Bombyx mori: one gene and its partners. The protein of the gene in region 5 interacts with the protein of the main gene of each other region in a pairwise test. Links are inferred from orthologs where the notes say so. Each region holds a gene or a part of one and is shown on either strand. Other genes may lie near its edges.

Evidence for each region.
Region 1: the proteins of nuclear protein 1 (region 5) and proteasome 26S non-ATPase subunit 4 interact in a two-hybrid assay, tested with the Homo sapiens proteins (2 studies listed by BioGRID and IntAct). The link is inferred for Bombyx mori from reciprocal best matches to the Homo sapiens genes NUPR1 and PSMD4.
Region 2: the proteins of nuclear protein 1 (region 5) and GTP-binding nuclear protein Ran interact in a two-hybrid assay, tested with the Homo sapiens proteins (2 studies listed by BioGRID and IntAct). The link is inferred for Bombyx mori from reciprocal best matches to the Homo sapiens genes NUPR1 and RAN.
Region 3: the proteins of nuclear protein 1 (region 5) and syntaxin-18 interact in a two-hybrid assay, tested with the Homo sapiens proteins (2 studies listed by BioGRID and IntAct). The link is inferred for Bombyx mori from reciprocal best matches to the Homo sapiens genes NUPR1 and STX18.
Region 4: the proteins of nuclear protein 1 (region 5) and RNA-binding protein cabeza interact in a two-hybrid assay, tested with the Homo sapiens proteins (2 studies listed by BioGRID and IntAct). The link is inferred for Bombyx mori from reciprocal best matches to the Homo sapiens genes NUPR1 and FUS.

Annotation. Positions count from the first base shown.
Region 1 is NC_085123.1:2,845,244-2,848,454, reverse strand, and holds proteasome 26S non-ATPase subunit 4, read right to left. Parts: upstream 1,861-3,211; 5' UTR 1,778-1,860; coding exon 689-1,777; 3' UTR 578-688; downstream 1-577. Other genes in the region: ribonuclease Z, mitochondrial, read left to right, coding at 526-569. UniProt on the Homo sapiens protein: Component of the 26S proteasome, a multiprotein complex involved in the ATP-dependent degradation of ubiquitinated proteins.
Region 2 is NC_085116.1:5,374,852-5,378,504, reverse strand, and holds GTP-binding nuclear protein Ran, read right to left. Parts: upstream 2,245-3,653; 5' UTR 2,169-2,244; intron 1,803-2,168; 5' UTR 1,776-1,802; coding exon 1,350-1,775; intron 1,249-1,349; coding exon 1,033-1,248; 3' UTR 504-1,032; downstream 1-503. Other genes in the region: syntaxin-1A, read left to right, coding at 3,365-3,397. UniProt on the Homo sapiens protein: GTPase involved in nucleocytoplasmic transport, participating both to the import and the export from the nucleus of proteins and RNAs. Switches between a cytoplasmic GDP- and a nuclear GTP-bound state by nucleotide exchange and GTP hydrolysis.
Region 3 is NC_085127.1:13,549,923-13,553,442, forward strand, and holds syntaxin-18, read right to left. Parts: upstream 2,271-3,520; 5' UTR 2,131-2,270; coding exon 1,354-2,130; intron 719-1,353; coding exon 530-718; 3' UTR 512-529; downstream 1-511. UniProt on the Homo sapiens protein: Syntaxin that may be involved in targeting and fusion of Golgi-derived retrograde transport vesicles with the ER.
Region 4 is NC_085116.1:7,692,205-7,696,561, reverse strand, and holds the start of RNA-binding protein cabeza, read right to left. Parts: upstream 2,819-4,357; 5' UTR 2,672-2,818; coding exon 2,662-2,671; intron 2,583-2,661; coding exon 2,430-2,582; intron 2,343-2,429; coding exon 2,054-2,342; intron 1-2,053. UniProt on the Homo sapiens protein: DNA/RNA-binding protein that plays a role in various cellular processes such as transcription regulation, RNA splicing, RNA transport, DNA repair and damage response. Binds to ssRNA containing the consensus sequence 5'-AGGUAA-3'.
Region 5 is NC_085114.1:11,550,010-11,552,600, forward strand, and holds nuclear protein 1, read right to left. Parts: upstream 1,301-2,591; 5' UTR 1,193-1,300; coding exon 971-1,192; 3' UTR 566-970; downstream 1-565. UniProt on the Homo sapiens protein: Transcription regulator that converts stress signals into a program of gene expression that empowers cells with resistance to the stress induced by a change in their microenvironment.

The DNA of each region.
Region 1 (3,211 bases), on a different chromosome or scaffold from region 5:
GGTGTTCAATGATGTGTAACTATACTGAGACCTTAGAACTTGTATCTCAAGGTGTGTGGCGCATTTACGTTGTAGATGTCTATGGGTTTCAGTAACCATTTAACACCAGGTGGGCTGTGAGCTCGTCCACACATATAGGCAATAAAAAAAAATAAAAAAATAAAAAAGTGTTAGCCCCCTAAGCCACACTCACAATAGTGCATAATAAAATAAATACAAACAGGAATAAAAGCCCATGTCTGAAATGGTTACTTGCTCTGTAGTAAGCTATTTCTTCTTCTTCTCTGTCGTTTCCTCATTACTGAGGGTCGTGACCACCTTGGTCCAGTAAGCTATTTAGTAATGTGAAATATTTATTTCACCATTCATGTTAATTTAAGCAGCATAATCGAAAGCAGATGAGGCTGGCTTTGATTCTTCTCAATAATGCAGAAATATTTAAAAGTAAAAAACAGAGCATACATATCGAAAATCACTTATTTTTAATTATTCTAATTTTATTTTTCAGAGGCTCTTTTGTTACAGTGTATGACAAAATTGAAGGTTTGAATTGGATCTCGTGGAAATAATGATGGTGTACAATAAAGTGTTATTTATTTAAATTTATAGATATATCAACACTGTCATGTTCCAATGTTGAAGCTTACAAACATGTATCTATTCAAAAGAAAATGAAAAAGTAAATAAACTAATTCTCTTTAGATGTGGATCCTTTTCCGTCTTTGTCTTTCTCATCCTTCTCATCCTTATCCTTCTTGATTGTTGACATAGCATTTCTGATGGCTTCACTCTGTGGGTCTACTCCGGGAAGGTTCTCAAGCACACTCTGTAAAAATGCTGGATCATTCATAACTTCTGCATATTCTTCAGAAACATCCATGCTCTCTTCAGCCTGGGGTGCTTCTTGTTGCATGCTCATTTGCATTGCAAGCGCAATCTGCTCCTCTTCAGAGAGTTCCATTGCATCACGACCGAGAGACATAGCAATGGCTCTCTCTACTGCTGTATCTGATCCTTCAGTGGCAGTGCCAGTTTCGCCTTCAGTTGTGGTCTGTTGACGACGAGACTCTTCTTCTTGACGTTGCCTTTGTTCTTCCATCGACACACGTAGAGCTAATGCGAGCTCTGGGTCTACATTGGGATCTACTCCAAATTCGAAAGGAGACAAACCAGAGCCAGAAGGGCCTGCTCCATCACCACCTATCAGAGGACTTGTTATCAAAGCCTCAGAAAGCACAACACAGCCTCCAGCTGGCACAGACACAAGGTGACTTCCCCCAGTCGATGTGTCTTTCCCATTTAGTGTGTTGACAAAGGTAGTCAAAAGGGGGTTGTTTTCTGAATCCTCTCCAAACGAAACAACATCACAGTTGACTTTCTCCTTCTTTAGCCTTTTAGCTAGTTTTACGAGTTCCTTTTCGTCAGTGTTGACAGGGGAACCGACAAAAACTACTATGCGCATCTTGTGATTCTTTCCCTGACGGTGTTTTAAAGCTAAATGTGCAATGCGGATTCCGGTCAATAGATTGATGTCACCGTTTGGCTGGACGCGATGGAGCTTGGACATGATACGTCCTACGTCGCTAGTAAGTGTGGCTAATACTTCGACGTTTGCAAGAGTTAATAATCCGACATTATTCTCAGGATTGGATCGTGTTTTGGAATGACATACCAAATTAACAGCATCCTGCTGAGCTTGCAGTCGTGTCGGCAAGAAATCTCCATTTCTCATGTAGTCACTATTGTCCACACAGATCATAGTACTTTCTAAGACCATTTTAGTATTTTTTCAGCAGACTAATATTTATTAAAGCGAATACAACGGTAGTCAATTCAATTCGTACAATGAACAAAAATTGCTGTATAATCATAGACAATGTCTGACGATTGACTTATGACATATTTAACAAATTGACATTAAGAACTATTCTTCAAGTGGCAAAAGTGTTGAGATAATTCATATCAAAAAAACTTTGTAAAAATAATCGTGTCGAGTTTTCATACCTAGTAAATCTTGTATACAGTTATCAGAAAATTTGCCTTACATTTATTTCTACCACATTATATTGATTTCACTGAGAATTTAAGCCAAATCAACAGGTTACATATCATTTCAACAATGACTTTAACAGGCGTCTTGTAGTCTAAAAAAATATTCGACAAAAACTAGAAGAGCTCTAATAACTCGTACAAGATTCAATACTCGATCAAGTAATATTTTTCACTCGGTGGAATCCTAATTAGACAGGAAATGGTTCGCAATTACGGAAAGATGGTGTATTCTATTACATCGATTAATCTACGTTCCTAACTAAGACATAAGTCTTGGTTATGAATCAATTCGACTGAAACTAAAAGGTAAATTAATTTAATGAAACTGAAAGCCATGTAAGCATTGTTTTGAAATGTTATCCTGCTTGCAAGATATTTAGGTTCAAGATTTGAAGTCGTCGTGGCCTAAAGGATAAGACGTCCGGTGCTTCCTATCGAGCGATGCAACGGTGATCGAATCCCGCAGGCGGGTACCAATTTACCTAATGAAATACGTACTTAGCAAGTGTTCCCGATTGACTTCCACGGTGAAGGAATAACATTGTGTAATAAAAATCAAGCCCGCAAAATTATAATTTGCGTAATCACTGGTGGTAGGACCTCTTGTGAGTCCGCACGGGTAGGTACTACCGCCCTGCTTATTTCTGCCGTGAAGCAGTAATGCGCTTCGGTTTGAAGGGTGCGGCAGCCGTTGTAACTACACAGATACCTTAGAAATTATATCTCAAGGTGAGTGGCGGTATTTACGTTGTAGATGTCTATGGGCTCCAGTAACCACTTAACACGAGGTGGGCTGTGAGTCCGTCCACACATCTAAGCAATAAAAGAAAAATGGTAGGAGGAGGATTTATAACGTAACCGTGAATTTCGGTGACTAATATTTTTTTAATTGCCCGTCACAGAATGCAGCGATAATTGGTACTTAGAAAACGCTGCTTAGTTCCTCTTACAACATACACCTATGTGAAGAGATGGGGTGGTGCTATTCTAGGCCCGAAAACAGACATTTTTATTTTTATTTTTTATTTTTATTTTCTTCTCTTTTTATCTACAATCAGTATCCAGTACTTTTATTAGATGAGTTGAAATTTTCTAAGTCAGTAAGAGCGTGACTCCAGCGAGCCATCTACTCTAAATTTAAGATTTGTCATTGAACTAT
Region 2 (3,653 bases), on a different chromosome or scaffold from region 5:
CCACAGCGCAGTCGCATTTTCGAGGATCAGAGCGTAACACCAAACCGGTGAACAATATAGTGCCATGAACCTCCACCACACCCAACGTCCGTGATTTTTTAGCGCCCCAGCGATTTCCAATCAGGACAGGGTTTTAAAGGAATAAACGACTAAAAAGTAACTTTCATTGCGACGGCAACCGCCCCGACTCGAGATACGCTTGAAAAAGCCTCAGAGCCAGCCATCAAGGGCACTAAAGGTCAAATCCCAGATATTGAAGGCATATGCATAATGTGTAGGTACCTACCTCATGAAACTTAATATTTAAGAGAGGCTAATAAATAATTTCTCAGTATTTCGTCATATATTTTCAATAATTAGATAGCTCATTAATATTGTGAACAACCACACAAATCAGATCACTTACAGATTCTACATATTATTATTATTAAAGAATCTTAAGTTACAACAACCCATTTTCTCCATTGCTTCTTTTATTTATATGATGAAGTAAAATCACGATCTCATTTTTTACACTTTATTTAAAAAGTATCACCACAATTCAATTTTTCAGTGAAATATTGTCAGTCCTTGCATGTAACAAAAGTAAGAAATAATTTCAAGATTATAATATTATGTGTGTACATGCTATTGGTTTACAAAGAGTTATCATACAAATTTGTTTACATGTGTATTATAAATAACAGTGACCAAATAGGCATTAACACATATTGGGCAATCAATGCAAAATGTTTTTATGACAACTGTAACAAAAATGAACTACACATAAATAATACTCATATTTTTGTTGCCTTTCAATATAAAAGTTTAGAATTACAGTTTTATAAAACTCAAACTAGAGGAGCTACGTGTTAAATTATCTAATGATTTTACATTAATTAAAGCAAATGATTGAAGGTTTAATAAGTTATTAAAATAATGTTCATTTGCGATCACCTAATGGAATGAAAAAATTTAGTGTACGCTACACTGAACACATTTGCATGATCCTCCAATCACAAAATGGGCACTGGGTACATCCGTTGATCATATTTATAAGTCTTCATCTTCCTCAGGAAGAGCAGTATTTTGTGCATCTTGAAGATCTTTTTCAATTTGGTTCTGCCATTGAGGATCCATTGTAACTTCTGGTGGCAGAAGGGCAGGCATGGCAACAAACTCAAGGTTACCGTCACCAATTAATTTTCTAGCTAGCCACAGGAAGGGTTTTTCGAAGTTGTAGTTTGACTTAGCAGAAATGTCGTAGTACTGAAAAAAATAATCAAGTTTGAAACAAAAATAATTACAAAGAATTTTAACATTTTGCCTTAAAATTAACTCTTAAATTGAATGAAAATAGTTTTATTTACCTGCAAATTCTTTTTCCTGTGGAAAACAATAGTTTTCGCCTTAACTTTTCTGTCTTTAATATCCACTTTGTTTCCGCACAAGACAATAGGGATACCTTCACATACACGGACCAAATCTCTATGCCAGTTAGGTACATTTTTGTACGTAACTCGAGAGGTTACGTCGAACATGATGATAGCACATTGTCCTTGAATATAGTATCCGTCTCTAAGACCACCAAACTTCTCTTGTCCGGCTGTGTCCCACACATTAAAACGAATTGGCCCGCGGTTCGTATGGAATACTAGAGGATGTACTTCGACACCCAGAGTCGCAACGTATTTTTTCTCGAACTCTCCAGTCAAATGTCTTTTGACAAAGGTTGTTTTGCCAGTACCACCATCTCCTACCAATACACACTTGAATGTGGGCATATCATCTGCCATTTTCGTTGTTTTATTGCTATTTTACTTCTGAAACAATGTGGTAAACTAAAATTAGGATATAGCCATAGAATGTTCTATGACGCACGGTTGACAGGTCGTTTCAATCGATCGTTCACTAGGTTTCGCGGAATACAAGAAATAATTCAACACTTTAAGCAGATTAAATTCATCACTGGGTACATAAATTGTGAGTTTGAATGAACTTGACAACTTGAATTTGTTTTAACTTTTCGGCGAATGGCGCTCAATCACTCTCATAGGAATTTAGCTCGAAGGTACCGAACTCTAAAGAGAAAAACTGAAAAACTACAACGCCAATAATATAAATATGGATATCAGTTTATTGGCAGTTTTTTATAGAACACAAACAAATAATTTTTTTAAAGGCTTTACCGTGATTGTATAAGAAAATCGAGATTTAACTCGTTCCAAAGCAAAGTCGTTACGGCTCACAATGGCGTCACTTGACTAAGCGGAAGATTACATACAATGACAATTTTGACATTGACAAGCACAGTGAATTAAGAGTCAGTGTGAGGTCTTTTTAAATTTATGAAAGCCACGTAAAACTATTTCAAATGTTTAAAAAAATATTAATTTGCATTTTATATACTAACCTTTCAATCAGATATATTTTGTAAATGAGTTAATTTCTATTTGGGTAACAGTATTTAAAATTAATAATATAAGCCGTATAATGCGCTGTTTTGACTACAGGGTATTTGACGTCACTGGTATTTCGAAACCACTACGCCCCCTATAGCTTACAAATTCAAACATTTTATATTCAACATTGCCATCTTAGTGGTTTTGCCAACAAAATTGGCAATTATGACTCCCAAAAAAATATAGCATAAAGCTTATTTTGTATTAATGGTTTTGTATTAATTTTCTATTTTAATTTGCTCATCATGAGTGCCATTCATGAACACACGCTATACACAAATTTTCTTTCAATAAGAAATGGTAAATGCCCGCGGGAATTCTATCGGCCACAAAGACTTCGTAAGATCGTCTTTTTCCTCTTTACACTATTAAAATTTTATAAAATCACTCTTGCTTCTCGATGGATTTTTTCCATCTTCGGCCTTTCGATAGATTTTCGAACGAAGAAGAACAAGCAACTATTCTTCTTCGTGCAAAGTTTCTTTCTGAGATCCTTCCTATATGAATATATCGTTGCTGAGTTTCGTCTTGCGGCCTTCTTAAAACGTACTCCTCTTTTAATTTTAATGAGCCTGGTCGCCATACTATATCCATCTCACAATCTTCATTTCACAGTAGCGCACGAAGCTTATAAGTTGTTTCTTAGCATGTGTGCCTTGTTTTTTTTATATTTAATATTAGTGGATCCTAGAAAAAAATTATGGCAACATTAAATTTGACAGCATGAGACAGGTAGCGAGTGTAGCGACCAGCGATAAGTGAAGTTTTGCTCGTCTGAACGTTTTGTATGGTATCGATTTTTTGAGTGAAGTGAACGTAGTGTTCGTGTCCTTTAGTTTAGTGACGTTTGTTAGAAAAATATCTTTGAATGGGATTGTGTAACGAGAAAAAACGTTTACTTGGTGCGTGATTCTCTGTAAAGGATGACGAAGGACAGGTTAGCGGCGCTTCAAGCGGTAAGTAGATTTGTAGTTTCTCTCTTCTCGCACATCTAATGGTCTTGCCGATGACCTCGAATTCATGATGAAATACCGATAATAAGGTGCCTATCGTGAGTTTGAAGGATATTTTCATAGTTTCTTCTTTTTAAGAACTACACATCTTTGGACAAACCAAATATACGAGGGTTCTTTATTCTGGTCGCCCCACCCCGTACTCGACTTGGATGAATGATAGCTGTCATTCATGCGAGACATTTGTTGCGTTCCGCTA
Region 3 (3,520 bases), on a different chromosome or scaffold from region 5:
GAACTTGACAGTTTGGACTTTGACGTTTAAATAGATAGTCCAAGAGAAAATAGCACATACAGCCAAGTTAGTCGACTGGTAAAAAACCGAAGTTATATTTGTAACTAAATTAATAAAATAGTGGTATTTTTAAAATAATATAGATGGTACAACGTTAATTAACAGCATTTTCTCATGTTATCAACTAAGATTCATATAAGTTAAAGTTAGTAGCATAAGTATAATAGTTAGTTAGTATATGTATAGTTGTATTTTAAACAACTAAAAAAATGTTTGGCTAAAGTATAGATCGAAACTCTAGCAATAATAGTGTATATTTTATATAACCGATAGTGAAATATTTGCGTATTCACATAAAAAAACATAAGAAGCCTCTGATAAAACGTGTTTATTTAAAGCGAAAATATTAACATCATTGATTCCAAAATTTCAATTAAGATCATTTTATTATCATCAAAACTGTTCCTTTTTTTTGTAAAATTATCATTATTTAGAAAATGAAACACAAAACCACCAGTAACTACTAAATTTAATCATTATACCAATCTAGGAACAGCAAACTGAACGACATGACCAGTAAGAAGAACAGAACATATACTCTTAGGCCTGCGTTTCTTTGTATAGCTTGCTTAATCTGTTCATTGGCATCCTTAACGTTTTCAGTTGCCCCGACAACTGTATTCGATATTCTATCTATGTCTTGTTCTTGTTGTAAAACCTGAAACATATTTACACTTTTTACATTTTATGTCAGACAAACTGTTTGTATATCTCATTATTAAAAGCTACCTGCCTACCGCTACTGTTAATTATACTTTTACAAACAGTAATATCAATTTGAATCTAAATAAATCAATTAAAGTATCATGGATTTGAAAAATTTATTTACATCCAATAGTTTACGTATGAAAGAACATCCAAATATGAATATTTTAAGATCAAGATAGTTATGATATGTATGTACCAGTATGTGCAATTTTATAAAGATATAATACACAGACTATAATAAACAACATTCATCCTCTCTGGTGGCAGATATTCTTAACCGCTACTGTTAATTATACTTTTACAAACAGTAATATCAATTTGAATCTAAATAAATCAATTAAAGTATCATGGATTTGAAAAATTTATTTACATCCAATAGTTTACGTATGAAAGAACATCCAAATATGAATATTTTAAGATCAAGATAGTTATGATATGTATGTACCAGTATGTGCAATTTTATAAAGATATAATACACAGACTATAATAAACAACATTCATCCTCTCTGGTGGCAGATATTCTTTTCTTGTAATCTGTTTTTTTTTTTAAATGGCTTATGTATTTATTCAATTTTAACCTTTTACCTTTTCAGTAAATATTTCTTGAAGTTCTGCAATGTGTAGTACTTTGCTTTCAATTTGTTTAACTTCTTCCGTCATACTGTTTAGTTCATTTAACAGCTGTACATTCTCCGACTCAAACATTTGCAACTCTTCTGAAGTCAACTCTCCTTCATCAGACATAATTGCCATCTCATTCTCTGATAAGTCTAATTTTGTTTTTGTATTTTCTTTTTCATCTTCTGTCTCATTCTCTTTTTCTATTACCTTATCTAGTGTAAACGGATTAGGAATACTAGATTTGGTCGCTGGTAGCTCAAGTCTAGACAATTTTCTCATATCTAAAGCTCGCTTAACTCTCATTGCTTTCAATTCACTATGCACTTTACAAACAGCTTTTAAATAAGCATCAATTAAATCTACGACTGAGTCCATATATTCCCTAGTTTGTGGGGTCACTGTAGTTCTTCGATTATCATTCCTGAACTCTTTTAGCAGGTGTGAGCATGTGTTCATGATACGTTGCGCACCGGTGTCTATTTGGTCGCGCTCTTCATCAGACATATCGTCTCCAGTAACATTATTGAAGAAGCTTAAATATTTATCGCGGTGTTCCAATAAAAAGTCCCTAAGCTTTGTAATTTGTGAACAAATATCCTTAGCTGTTGCCATGAAAGCATTTTTTGATTTCACCCTCAATATGCGTTGCTTATCTTCGCTAATCGGACTGTGTATGCCGAAAGCCTTGTTACGAGTTTTAACAGTTTTTATGCAAGCCTTAAATAATGGTGTTATATCCATTTTAAGAGGATTTGTTTATGTTTTAAATGTTTTTTCCTTCAATAACACGTAAGTTTTACTCGTTTTTGACAAATTGAATTGACAAATCAATAATGTCCTCACAGAGTAGACACTAACCAAATTCTCTTTTTAAAATTATCCAATTGAAAAGGCAAAGTAAGCATGGCTTTAAGTAGTAATAAATATTTTAATAGTAATAAATATTTTAATCTGTGATGGCTACATGGACTTTTTGGCGGGAACACGTGGAGTGAAGTTGTGTGATTTGTTTTATTTTGTCTATTTAGTGTTTCTTCATGTTAGAACTGGTCTTCTTGCCATCCAACCATCTAACCATCATAAGTTTATTAAGAAGAATAGTTGTTGCCTAGCATTAATTAGTTAGTCGTATAATTTTATGTGAAAAAATAAAAAGTCAGTATGTACATCCGAAGAAAGTTATCAGGTCATAAAATCCCTTAAAAAAATTATTATACACAATCTGATCTGAAGTCTTTTGCTCGTAAATTTACAGTAGCCGAAAGCATTTCAGATCGAATGGAGACGGAAGAGAGACAGAAATAAATGTTACACCACTCTATAAAGCTTCTGTCGCTTATACAGGGTGCCCTAAAAAATAGTGTCAAGCCGAAGTCCAGAGGTAGAACATCACTAGGGCTATCCGAACCACCCCCATGTACGTTCCGCGATTTTTAATAGTTTTCGAGTTATGATTTTTTAAATATATTTTTTTATTTCTATGTTAAGGCACTTTTTTGCTCACTGTGGCGAGAATAGATAAGGTACATGCCTGATATTTGAACACTTGCTTTTTTTTAAAACTCGGTTTCAAAGTTTAGAAAAAATACACAATTTTTAACTTTTTTGTTTCTTTTTTTTATTAGGTTTCACATTTGTGTTATAATGTATGACATATCAGCTATGAGAGCTTCGCTCAGAGCGTGGTGCAGCAGACACGATCAAATTTAGGTCTGTTAGAGAACTGTCTAAGCATGAAGATGCTTAGACAGTTCTCAGTTCAGTTGGGTGAATTGAATTTAATTCAGTTCAACTGTTGGAGTTTGAATATAAATGTAATGGCAGGCAGCACTTGACGCATGATTACAGATTTCGAATATTAGAATTATTTTAAACGTTTAAAAAACAGATGATTGTATTCTCGTAAGAAAAAGTCAATACTTCTAATCTAGACACGGTCAAAGAAACATGTAAGAAGTTTTATAAAAATATAAAGATAATAATTTTAAAATGGTGTTCAAACTATCTGCAATATAATTATAATGAAGCAGTGTGTTTTTAAATAGCCCTCCATCACCTACAGAACCCAATCACCTCAAATTTAACCATCCAACATCAACCCATTGAAGACAGAGATTTAAAAGATATATAT
Region 4 (4,357 bases), on a different chromosome or scaffold from region 5:
CTGGGTGGTCAGGCTTGTCTTAGGCCCCTGAAAGATAGGCGATGCTCGACTTCTGCGAGTCCACCATCTCGCAGAAGGAGGCGGCGGAACGGGAGAGGGAGAACTCTTCCTCCCTCTCGGCGCCGTGCCGCCGCCGTCGAGCCGGGGGTCGGAGGAGGGCGTTTGTCCAGCTCCGGCCCCTATGAGGAGGCAGTCTCCTCCCGGTGATGGTCACGGGGCGACCTAAGGGGGCTGAGACTGCGCCGCACGCTACCGTCACTCTAGCGCGCTGGCACCAGGAGGACGGGACAACGCGTCGGCGGCTGCGGACTGCGATGCGGTCCGGTCCGCATTTTCGTCGTCGCTATCGTCGCCGAACATACTGTGGAAGAGCAACCCGGTCGGCGGTGTATCGCGTTCCGACCCGGCAGGCTTGTTCTGGCCCAGCGGGGTATCCCGGAACACCAGCGGCATCGCCCGGGCGGCCTGAAGGGCCGCCGTACCGCGGAGACTGACGTCGTTGGTCGTCGACTATCGCCTCGACGACCCGTCGGTCGGGCGTCCTCGGGGTGGCGCCGCGTGTCTGGTTGTAGTGTTGACCGCGGGAACCCCCCTACTCTGACCGGGTTTTGACCCCGGACGGAGATCGGACGCCGGGTGTAAGAGTGCAGGGGAGTCGTTTAGTGGGTGGGCCCTAAATTCCTTGGGCCCGCGGTCTGCTCTCAACACCTGCAGATCGTTGAGTCTCACATACCCCGCGCGCCCCCTAGGCGCGGGGACCTCGTAGGAGGTTCGGCCCTCGGCCCGGAAAAAAAAAAAAAAAGGGCCCCTGAAAGATGATGACATATCCCAGATATTGCCCCCCCCCCGTACAATATTAAGTTCGGATTGTCAATAATCCCATTCTCACGGATCGTTTGGAACTTCTGGGTCTGCAGAGGGACTTCGGCTCCCTCTGTATTTTGTACCATATGTTCCATGGGAGTGCTCTGAGGAATTGTTCGAGATGACACCGGCATCTCGTTTTTAACATCGCACCGCCCGCCACCGGAGTACAGTTCATCCATACTACCTGGAGCCACTGCGGTCATCCACAGTGCGTTTCCAGAGGTCTTTTTTGCCACGTATCATCCGGCTATGGAATGAGCTCCCCTCCACGGTGTTTCCCGAGCGCTATGACATGTCCTTCTTCAAACAAGGCTTGTGGAGAGTATTAAGCGGTAGGCAGTGGCTTGGCTCTGCCCCTGGCATTGCTAAGTCCATGGGCGACGGTAACCACTCACCATCAGGTGGGCCGTATGCTTATCTGCCTACAAGGGCAATAAAAAATCAATAAAGAAAACACTCAAATTATCCAACTTTTATGCAAAATCACAGTTATCAGGTTACATTAACCAGCAGACTGGAACTGTTGTTTTATAAGTGAGGTTAATTGTTGGATAAGTTTCTCCTATGCTATGTATCTAAAAACACAACATATGTAGATGTTGTGAACCAACTTTGAGATGTCATCTTTGTTAATAATAATGTTGCAATATCAAATACACAAATCCAGCATATTATTTAATTTCTGTTCATTGTTGATGCAAGTAATCAGTTGCAGTTCAGTCTTTTTTATTTATTTTATAAATCACACAGTGACAATTTCATACAGAAAGTATAGTGCAAAGTAGCGATGGCTTGGCAGTGCTCCTGCCAATATTGACATAGATGAACAACAGTGGTCAATCCACCAGGTAGGTCTTTTTTGGCCAATGAAGACAAAATAGACCAGTGGAGTTAGCTGATGTGCAAATTAAGGTATAGTTAGAAGGTCAATGGTTTACATTAAAAACATTTTTATCCACATATCCAAATCTTCTTAATTATTATTAGAGAGCATATCAAAAACAAAAAAAAAACTGCAGATTTGGATAGTAAGCACTTCATCTATTTGGTTTTTTTTTAAGTGTTAATAATTTCCTTTTCAGCTCTAAAATTCCATTTCCCTGTCCGAGATTACAAAATTTTCAAATAAAGTATACACCGTTTCGTTAATGATTATCTTAGAAAATAAGAAAGAAAAGAAACTCACCCATATCCACCGTCTCTATTTCCCCCATCTCTACTGAAGTTGTTTGAACGATCACCTCCACCATACCCGCCACGGTCTCCACCTCCAGAATAGCCGCTGCCGCCTCTGTCACCGCCATAGCCAGAACCACCACGATCACTGCCTCCATAATTGCTCCCGCCACGCTCTCCTCCACTCGAATTATACCCATCATTACTTCTTTCATAGCCACCGCCACTATCATAACCACTTCCATAGCTCTGACCATAGTTACTACTTTGTTGATTACTTCCTCCATAGGAATTACCACCTAAAATTTGTATTTTCGTATTAGTCGTACGCCTAAATCAAATACGTCCTTTACATGGAAATGTGAAATTTAGCATTATAACCTCACCTGAACTTTGTTGGTTCCATTCTTGATTTTGAGATTGCCCAGAGTATCCGCCTTGGTTATAGCCACCTTGCCCACCGCCATAACTATTGTTATCGGCTGATGCCGGTGGAGGCACCGAATACTGCGACGCGTATCCACCGCCACTATATTCACCTACGATGTAATTTAATAAATTAATTTTGATTATATTGCGGATCTTCAAAACTTAAGACAGTATTAATGTTATACGAACGATCACCCATATTCTTGCCGGATTAAGCACTAATTACTATGATTCTCGTGTATACTGTCGCAATAATTATTATCGCGAAATTAATAGAAAAGTAACGCCACGCACACCATCGACAAAAGGAAGTAGAAACCATAGACCTTAAATTGATCGGGGCTATTCATCGATATGTGCAAAGGGAAAGAATGAAAAATTTAGATTAAAGACAATTAAAGCTCAGTCAGTGAAAGTGCACAAATATAATGAAGTTTTTAGTGGTGGTAGGACCTCTTGTGAGTTCGCGCGAGTAGGTACCACCACCCCGCCTATTTCTGCCGTGAAGCAGTAATGCGTTTCAGTTTGAAGAGTGGGGCAGCCGCTATAACAATACTTGAGACCTTAGAACTTATATCTCAAGGTGGGTGGCGCATTTACGTCGTAGATGTTTATGGACTCCTGTAACCATTTCACACCAGATGGGCTGTGAGCACATCCACCTATCTAAGCAATAAAAAATAAACGGAATTGCTAACAGCTTCTGGTGATTTTACCAAAAATCCACGAAAGTCTCAGTAAATTCCTACCATTACTGGGACGTCGTTTTATTTCATTAAATTAATCTCGTTCTAATTGATTTATTTGAAAGTAAAATTATACTTGAATTATATTAAATAAATGGAATACCAAATAAATTGAAATAGAATAAGTCATATAAAAGCAGCCACGACATTGCATGGAACAGATCGTAATAATAATAAAAAAAATCCTATTGACCATTTAGGAAGGTAGAAGTAAGGAGAACCACCCCAGTGTATTCATAAGTATCCGCTGAAAGGGAGCCAGTTAAGGTGAAGCCATAGAAGCAAGTGGAAAGATTTTAAAAAGAACGCCGTAAGCTATTAGAGTAGGATATTAAATTAAAAAGGGAAGAAATACTTCCAAATAGTAATAAAAACAAACAGTTGAGATTTTAAATACGGCATATTTTTTAAACACATTTTTGCATTATACTGCATAAGTCACGAAAAATATAAAATATTCTACTCAGCCCAGCACTCTTCACTCTGCTTAAAATATTCAGATCATTTCCATTTCCTACACTAGCGCTATTTCGGTGTAACTTCCAACAATAGCTTATCTACAGGTATACCCCTTTTTCAACTTATCCATTATACCTACCTACCTACAAGATTGTCCTCCTTACTCTATTTTCTATCCTCTTTTAGAAGGCTGACATTTGGCTGAATTTAGTCGTCTGAATTCAGAAGCTTCTGATTACACTGTTCTAAATTCAGTTACTGAATCAATTATCAGTTTAAATGCGACGAAGTAAGACGTGTCGTGTACGTAAGAGGATGACCCCAGTATTGTTAAACAACATTTTTTTTGTTTGTTTTTGTGTTTTCTTTCAATTTCTCAAAAAAAAAAAAAAAAACAAGCATCAGAAGAAATATTTATTGCTGCGCGGAATGTTAGCAAATATGAATATTATGAGTAATTTAGAACCAGCAGACTTCAGAAATTATCTATAAATGGATTCGATCTCGTTTGACCTAATATTAAACCTTGTGACACCGTTTATTCAAAAGCAGGATACTATCCTACGATAGTCTATTATATATCTATTATATAACTATTACATATTTCATTCTCCGATAGTATAATAGTACAAAAGCAAGATTGGTTGTAACATTAAGATTTCTTGCAACAGGAAATTCGT
Region 5 (2,591 bases):
TTACATACATACAACATTACTAAAGTGAACGGTCTGATGTTTTTACACATATATGTACCTAAATAACTACACGTTCCATTACCTATCCAATTGTGTATGTGTCGGTAATATGTGTTTGTTACTTTATTAATCTAAATATTACTTTGAAATAACTGCAGCTGTGTTATTGAAATGCTATTGTTTTTGTGTTACAAAGATGCAAGTGTTTTATCGCCGTTGTTGGCGAGCACACCTGGAATTTCATGTTCCAATAAGATACAAAAATATGAGTTTATTACTTTTCTGTTAGTTTGTCTTTTTTGTTTATGAATATATATTTACATTTCCACCTCTGGAAACACGTTTGTATTTTCTACGACGCAGTTTAATCGAATATCGAGTATCGTAGCGATGATAAACAGTGCGACAAGGCCAGCTACCTCGCTGTCTGCCGTCTTCACTCAAGGTTACCTTTGTGTATAAACATAGGCCAGTTGGCGTTTCTAATAGTACCTATTCTGCGCACACGGCAACGACCTCGCCGCCGCCGCCCATACCACTCCAAGAGATCAATAATAAACACATCTTATGTAACTATAATTTATTAGTCTTAAAATTAATTATTACAGTCCATCGAGTATCTCGGAGAGATAAATTAAACATATAATAATTTTACTAGGAATAATAACACAGCAGTTCCGGGCTCACGAGCCCATTATTCGAGATCAGACACTGGAACGGTGTTACGTCCAAAATATACCGACTTACTGCTTGGCTCATTTGTGGCGTTGTCCCGTTCTAAATCGCAGCCTCTGTGAGTGGGCGAAGTAGAAATTTTGTGTGAGCAAAAAAACGCCTAGGATGTTCCATCGATCTCTGAGACGAGCATCCACCCGAACACTCCTCGGGTATCCGCAATAGCGTCCTCCTTTCGTTTGGCAACTCAATAGTCCTTCTGCTAGCCATAGTTGTCTATTGATCAGCAATCCATCTAGTGTTTGGTGTTTGAAGTCTTCTTGTTGTGCTCGGCGTTCATGAGTTTCGTGACGATCTTTCTCGAATGCCCGGACGGATCGAAGTGGTTGGTGTGTTCAGACGCTTCTTTCTTGGTGCGCTGCTTACCACCGTGGCCCGTGAAAATGTGCTTGTCGTGGTCGAAATTATAGTAGTCGTATTCGTCAAAGAATGCTTCTGACATATTTACGTTTGGCATTTGGTATTAATATTAAATACAGAAATCACAACGGAAACGTCGTGTTGACAGTGTTACTTTGAATTTTGTCGGACAAAATGTTCGTAGTGCTAGTTGAGCCGCCGGTTATATAGGCCGGCGAAGACACGTCATTGACCGCATGCGCGTCGATAACATTCTGGAAATGTGATTGGCTGTTGCAATCGCAACGAAGTTTGTGCGAGCGCTACGACCCGGTTTTGAGTCACCTTCTTACGTATGCGTATGTGTGAATGCCGATTGAGGATACCAGCTTAGAAACGAAAAAATACAAACATTTTGGGTATTCAATTTAATCCGCGTCTAACAAACATTTTTATTAAGTGTTTAATTAATGTTAGCGCATGTCATTTTTTTTCCTATCTATGTCGATAGCCTTGAGAGGCTATTTCAGCTTTGCCCTAACGTGTGTAGGCGAGCTCACGGGGCTCAAACCGGAGTGTTGCTAACACTGACCCTAGCAAGAGCAGTGCTTCGCAGAATCTACCACCGGGTCGGAAACGCGACCCACTGAGAAGATCCGGCGACAAGCGCTTATACGTAATTTCACCTAATGTCTCAATGTATGAGGTAGTAGTCACGTTGTGGTATGTAACAGATTCAGTAGCTGTTCAAAGGCAAGTGCGCCATGAATTCGTTTGCCGATTGATGCTAATTAGAATTTTGTTGTTTACGAAATAATCTAAATTTTATCTGACAAACTATTCTCTGGAAGTCCATATGTTTCAAATTACAGCTTGAACATTGAAGATCATTCTTATCAAATTAATCAGTCATTCACTTGTTATGTTCGCCACAATTTTACGTTTTTAATATGAAAATATATAAAAATTTTCATAACGATCTAATCGAAAGAAGAAAGAACGATTCAAATTTCCTACTTCCCGAAAAAAAAATTTCTCCCCAACGTTACTCTTAAAATATTATAGTTTGCGGGAATTATATTCTTGTGGTAACATTATTTGTAATTATCAATGTGTGTATTACCTGACTTGAGCTTGTTTTGTGAATAATAATATCAGGTGGGCGATGAAGGTAGGCACTTTTGCAATAGACGTTTTTAATTATTTTAGTCACCACTGCTGCTCTCTGGTATCGAATAGTTAAAGCTTTTTTTATTATTTTGTTTTTATTTTTATTTTACCACAATACGATTAATCGGAAATTGGATTAGGTGTGCAAATTTAATATGGCAAAAGTACACATATTAGCGATATGTAGGAAAGTTCATGATTTTCAAACTGTTTTTAAGACAATTTCACCATACTACTGCGTATTTTACTACTATTTCGAAATAAGGCCTTATGCTGCTTGCTACCTGATAATGTGCTAATCTTATAATAGAGCTTTTTTTGGAACAGGGCGCCTTTTTACTAGGAGC